2 linked regions of the Xenopus tropicalis genome follow. The protein of the gene in region 1 interacts with the protein of each later gene in a pairwise test. Links are inferred from orthologs where the notes say so. Each region holds a gene or a part of one and is shown on either strand. Other genes may lie near its edges.

Region 1 (2,518 bases):
GTGTTACACTGTTTCAGGAGTCAGTCTCCCCCAGCGAGTCAGGTCTGTCAGGCTGCTGCCTTGTGTTACACTGTTTCAGGGGTCAGTCTTCCCCAGCGAGTCAGGTCTGTCAGGCTGCTGCCTTGTGTTACACTGTTTCAGGGGTCAGTCTCCCCCAGCGAGTCAGGTCTGTCAGGCTGCTGCCTTGTGTTACACTGTTTCAGGGGTCAGTCTCCCCCAGCGAGTCAGGTCTGTCAGGCCCCCAGGGCAGAGAATAGAAAGGGACAAACACTGCTTCTAATAGCAGTTATAAATACAAATAATATATATATATAAGTTGTATTAGGCAAACAAATATATTCTGGGTTGACTTGTCCTTTATCCATGGCCAAAGTAGGTTCCCTTTGCCAAGTCTGCATGGCGGAAGCTCCGCACTTAATCCCTGGATTATCTGAACGTGCCCGAGCCTCTCGGCCGGTGAAACCGAACCCCGGGCCCTACAGCTGCTCCCCAACTGGCGGTATCTCATGTTCCGTACATGCCAGTCACGCCTCAGGCTTCATACATATCTCACAGCTAAAGATTCTGGGTTATTTCACCTCCAGTTGAATAAATTGCTCATGGTTTGTGGGTTCTTTGCCCCCTTTTTTTTATGTTTTCAGCATTTCAGACGCAACACTGCCGCTGTTGATCTCCTGCTGCTGATTGGACTCGCGGCGGAACTCGGCGCCGACAGACCTGAGCCCTTTGGAGTAAATGTCTCTGTGCTTCTGTTACAGACGGCAGAGGTGGCCTTGGCCAATCTGAAGAGCAAGTACGAGAACGAGAAAGCGATGGTCACGGAGACGATGATGAAGCTGCGCAATGAGCTGAAGGCACTAAAGGAAGACGCTGCCACCTTCTCCTCCCTGAGGGCCATGTTTGCCACCAGGTACAAAGCCCATACATTCCATTGCCCCATTATTCTGCCCCAGTCTGGCTCCTGTGTCCACTTGGCCACCTTCTCCTCCCTGAGGGCCGTGTTTGCCACCAGGTACAAAGCCCATACATTCCATTGCCCCATTATTCTGCCCCAGTCTGGCTCCTGTGTCCACTTGGCCACCTTCTCCTCCCTGAGGGCCGTGTTTGCCACCAGGTACAAAGCCCATACATTCCATTGCCCCATTATTCTGCCCCAGTCTGGCTCCTGTGTCCACTTGGCCACCTTCTCCTTCAGTCTTAGCCCAATGCAACTTGTACTGAAATCCCATAGGCAGAAGTACTCTGTAGATGCGTCCAATGGGGCACAACTTAGGGCTCTGGCAATTGTACCCCCAGAGTTAGTAAATAGGCAATGCCCCCCAGGACTACACAGCCTTACAGATAAGACCGCCCTGTTTGCAGCCAAGGGATCAGTAACATAATATTCTGCCTCGCAAGGACCAAACATGGAGCAGCTTCAGTTTGGACAGGGGGGTGTACTGCCCCTTTAAGTAGATAATGTTACACTTGGACCAGGCTGTGCCTCCTGTCATTGACTTTAATGGTATCTGGCTAATTAGCAATTAACTTACATGCATGGCTGCACATAAATCAGTTTAGTCTGCAGCACACATCTAAATCAATTGCTAAATGGAAGGCATAGAGTTGGGGTTTCAGGTTTTTATCATTTTATATAATATATGAAATTACTTGCTGCTTTTAAAGGGGATGTTCACCTTTGAGTTAACTTTTAGTATGATGTAGAGAGTGATATTCTGAGGCAATTTGCAATTGGTCTTTATTTTTTTCAATGATTTCAGCAACTCCAGTTTTGAATTTCAGAAGCTCTTAAGTTGCTAGGGTCTCGATTACCTTAGCAACCAGGGAGTGGTTTGAATAGGAGACTGGTATATGAATAGGGGAGGGGCTGAATAGAAAGATAAGGAATAAAAAGTACCAATAACAATAAAACTGGAGCCTCACAGAGCAATAGGGTTTGGCTGCCGGGGTCAGTGACCCCCATTTGAAAGCTGCAAAGAGGCAGAAGAAGAAGGGAAATAATTCAAAAACTATAACAAATAAAGTCAGAAGAAGAAGGCGAATATTTCCCTATATAACCCACTTTTTTGGGTTTGGCTGAACCCCCGAACCCACCCTGACAGATTCTGCCCAATCCTAATTAGCATATGGTAATTAGGATCGGAAGGGGTTAAAAATTGCTGCGCTGCGCACGCTACAAATTTTTTCCCCCCTGACCATTTACCGTGGGACCGTGGATACGGGCGAAACCGAATCCTTCAACAGAAGCCTGGATTCGGCCCGAATCCCAAACCGAGACTGGGATTCAGTGCATCCCTAATAAAGTGAATAATGAAGACCAATTGAAAAGTTGCTTTAAATTGGCCATTCTATAACATATTAAGTTATTCTAAAGGTGAACCCACCCCTTTAACCCTTTAGTTGCCAAGTGGCAGGCAACGTTGATTCTGTTACGGGTTATTGCCGTAGGGGCACGCAGTTTAAGGGTTAAAGCTTTGGGATATAACGCCTGTGTGTAATAACCGGCTCATTGTCCGTT
Region 2 (4,368 bases), on another chromosome or scaffold:
GGATGGGCATCAGGGGCTTAGCACAGGGTGCAAAGGATGGGCATCAGGGGCTTAGCACAGGGTGCAAAGGATGGGCATCAGCACAGGGTGCAAAGGATGGGCATCAGCACAGGGTGCAAAGGATGGGCATCAGCACAGGGTGCAAAGGATGGGCATCAGCACAGGGTGCAAAGGATGGGCATCAGCACAGGGTGCAAAGGATGGGCATCAGCACAGGGTGCAAAGGATGGGCATCAGCACAGGGTGCAAAGGATGGGCATCAGCACAGGGTGCAAAGGATGGGCATCAGCACAGGGTGCAAAGGATGGGCATCAGCACAGGGTGCAAAGGATGGGCATCAGCACAGGGTGCAAAGGATGGGCATCAGCACAGGGTGCAAAGGATGGGCATCAGCACAGGGTGCAAAGGATGGGCATTAGCACAGGGTGCAAAGGATGGGCATTAGCACAGGGTGCAAAGGATGGGCATTAGCACAGGGTGCAAAGGATGGGCATTAGCACAGGGTGCAAAGGATGGGCATTAGGGGCTTAGCTAAATGGTGTCAAGGAAAGCAATTAAGGGTGTAAAGAAAAGGGATAAGAGTTTTTAGCCAAAGTGTTTGAGGGTTTAACCAAGGGGTTAAAGGAATAATGTGTATACGAAGGAATTCAGAGGCAGAAGACAACATTTAGGGCATTTAACAAAAGTATCAGACTGGGAGATTTTCCTTGAGAGTTACAGGTGTAATGTTTATAGGGTTACCCATAAGGGCCTAGTGATGGTGCTTGGGGGTTCACCCATAGGGTTTAAGGAGATAAGAAAATTCTAGGGACAGTGCTTTAGTTAAAGGGTGAGTAAAGGTTCCAGGTTATGTCTATGGTTACCCCCCATTTTTATAAATAGAACCCTAAAAAAGGGGGTGGGGTGAAACAATAAGGTTCACTATACACTAATACTATATATAAGGATATCCCATAACAGGGAGCTGTATATAAGGAAATAATAACACCCTGTATATAGCTGCAATCCTGTATAAACGCCGGTGACTTTCCCATTCTGTGTATGTGAGGAATCCAGTTCAGAGACGTCGCTGGCACCCAATTAAACAGGCAGGTCTCTTTATATAGTATGTACCCAGGCCATTATCCCAATTACCTGCTATAGGGCCCGGTGTCTCATAGCAAATCATTATTATATATATTTATATCTGAAAGTGACTGAATACGGAGACACAATGTAGCAGAACAGGGGTCTCGCTCAGGGCTATAAAGGTGCAGAATAGAGCAGAAATATAATATTATATCTGTATATAACATGGGGGATATCAGTTTATAGGGGTTTCTATGAAGCTGAGTGTAGGACATGAGAGGGGGCATATCTATGAGGCAGAAGAGAATATTCAGACTATAAAGGAATCTAAGCAGCCATTTGTATGAGATCAGGGGATATATATATATATATATATGTGTGTGTGTGTGTGTATCACAGGCGGATATACAGAATAGAATGCACACCTATAAGGTGAGGGGATTCGCTGCAGACTATAAAGGCGTATAAGAAGCCATGAGATATATGTATGAGATCAGGGGATATATAAATATATATGGGTGTGTGTGTCACAGGCAGATATACAGAATAGAATGCAGACCTATAAGATGAGGGGATTCGCTGCAGACTATAAAGGTGTATAAGCAGCCATGAGATATCTGTATGAGATCAGGGGATATATAAATATATATGGGTGTGTGTGTCACAGGCAGATATACAGAATAGAATGCAGATATGAGCTATAGATCAGGGGATATATATATATATATATGGGTGTGTTTGTCACAGGCAGGTATACAGAATAGAATGCAGATATGTCTATAACATGAGGGGATTCACTGCAGACTATAAAGATATCTATGAAGCCATGAGATATCTGTATGAGATCAGGGGATATATATATATATGTGTGTGTGTATCACAGGCGGATATACAGAATAGAATGCACACCTATAAGGTGAGGGGATTCGCTGCAGACTATAAAGGCGTATAAGAAGCCATGAGATATCTGTATGAGATCAGGGGATATATATATATATGTGTGTGTGTGTGTCACAGGCGGATATACAGAATAGAATGCAGACCTATAAGGTGAGGGGATTCGCTGCAGACTATAAAGGCGTATAAGAAGCCATGAGATATCTGTATGAGATCAGGGGATATATATATATATATGTGTGTGTGTGTCACAGGCGGATATACAGAATAGAATGCAGACCTATAAGGTGAGGGGATTCGCTGCAGACTATAAAGGCGTATAAGAAGCCATGAGATATCTGTATGAGATCAGGGGATATATATATATATGTGTGTGTGTGTCACAGGCGGATATACAGAATAGAATGCAGACCTATAAGGTGAGGGGATTCGCTGCAGACTATAAAGGCGTATAAGAAGCCATGAGATATCTGTATGAGATCAGGGGATATATATATATATATGTGTGTGTGTGTGTCACAGGCGGATATACAGAATAGAATGCAGACCTATAAGGTGAGGGGATTCGCTGCAGACTATAAAGGCGTATAAAAAGCCATGAGATATCTGTATGAGATCAGGGGATATATATATATATATATATATATATGTGTGTGTGTGTGTGTGTGTGTGTGTGTGTCACAGGCGGATATACAGAATAGAATGCACACCTATAAGACGAAGGGATTCGCTGCAGACTATAAAGGCGTATAAGAAGCCAGGCATTGGGTCCCTTACCGCTCTGCTCCCCCAGGAAGACAAGTTTGAATTTCCTCAGCGGGTTCCCGAAGTCTCCTCCCGCGGACATGGTGCCGGGAACCCGGGTCCGAGATCCGGTTAAGGGAAGTGGAAGTCCGGGCGGAAATGAGCGCTCGGTCAGGCAGCAGGGATAGGCGGTAGGAAAGGGTCCCGGGAGAGTGAGGGTGGGGCGCCCTTGGCTCTGGGGAGAGCGACAGATTCGGCCGAGGAGGGGCAGGCAGCGGCTTCCCGTGACCTCTCACACACACCTGATAGGCAAGCCCCACCCTGTCTCACAGGCTTGTGTACCAGGCCCAACCCTCAGGGACGCACACTCGCACACTAGCCTGCCAGGCCTTGTCACCATGCCAACTGGGTATAAGAGCCAATCAGCGGCCGGGGATGCTGTCAAATCAGGAAATGCGGGGGCGGGGCGTATGAGGGTTGTCAAGGGCGCCATTTGGCGTGTGGCAAAGTAATTGCCGGAAGCGCCTGATAGCCGCTTGTGTTTCTGATTCAGGATAGTCAACTCTATGGGGTGCCACAACCAATATGGAACCTTCAAGCCGCAATCCAATCAACGCAAAGGGGCGTGCCGTCCTGACCCGTCTCTGAGTAAACAACTCTGATTGGATGAGCTGCTCGGCATTCCTAGCCAATAGCGAAGCACCAAACTAAAGCTCCGTTTCCGTCCAGTGAGGTGGAGCCTGCGTGGCAGTTTGGTTGCAGCGCGCATTGCGGGCGCCACGTTACTGAGTTAGCGTGACTTCCGGGTGACGTAATGGCTGAGCTTTGCTCCCCGGAGTGCCTCCCTCAGCAGCAGCGCTGGGCACAGGTCACATGGGTGGGACAGTCATGTGACTCTTCTGAACCCCAAGCTAATACCTTGCCGCTAATCACCTGCGGCTAGACATGTTAGTGAACTACAACTCCCAGCGCCCTCTGTGTGCCAAACGTGTTGTTAAGTGAATTCTGAAACAGTACTAGTGTGAAGGAATACTGACATGGGAAAATGTTATTAGAGCTTCTCCAGCAGAATCCTGCATTGTAATCTGTTTTCCCATGGGGCTAGCCATATTCTTCATTTCCCAGGGTGCCACAGCCATGTGACCTGTGCTCTGATAAACTGCACTCACACTTTACTGCAGCGCTGCAAGTTGGAGTGATATCCCCCCCTCCCCCCAGCAGCCAATCAGCAGAACAATGGGAAGGGAGCAAGATAGCAGCTCCCAGTAGGTATCAGAATAGCACTCAATAGTAAGAAATCCAAGTCCGGCTTGGGACTCCTCCAGTTACATGGGAGTAGGAGAAACAATAGGTTAGCTGAAAGCAGTTCTAATGTGTAGCGCTGGCTGAAAGCTCAGACTCAGGCACAATGCACTGAGATGGCGCCTACACACCAATATTACAGCTACAAATACATTTGTTGGTTCAAGAATAAAAGGTTAAATGGCAGAGGGAATTATTTGCTGTGTAACAGTGTCATTTAGAAAATTAGTACACCATACTAGCTATACACTTAAGGCCTGTGCTGTATGTTACATTTGTGTCCGGTCTGCAGACTTTCAGCTGCTTTAACACCCGTGGCTGCTGTGGCAAGACTGGTATAAGTCCAGTTATAGGTTC

Evidence for each region.
Region 2: the proteins of bicd2 (region 1) and rab6a interact in binary tests that used the Homo sapiens proteins (3 or more experiments, as listed by UniProt). The link is inferred for Xenopus tropicalis from reciprocal best matches to the Homo sapiens genes BICD2 and RAB6A.

The regions. Positions count from the first base shown.
Region 1 is NC_030680.2:150,881,188-150,883,705, forward strand, and holds part of bicd2 (protein bicaudal D homolog 2), read left to right. Parts: intron 1-758; coding exon 759-910; intron 911-2,518. UniProt on the Homo sapiens protein: Acts as an adapter protein linking the dynein motor complex to various cargos and converts dynein from a non-processive to a highly processive motor in the presence of dynactin.
Region 2 is NC_030678.2:174,066,121-174,070,488, forward strand, and holds the start of rab6a (ras-related protein Rab-6A), read right to left. Parts: upstream 2,916-4,368; 5' UTR 2,813-2,915; coding exon 2,743-2,812; intron 1-2,742. UniProt on the Homo sapiens protein: The small GTPases Rab are key regulators of intracellular membrane trafficking, from the formation of transport vesicles to their fusion with membranes.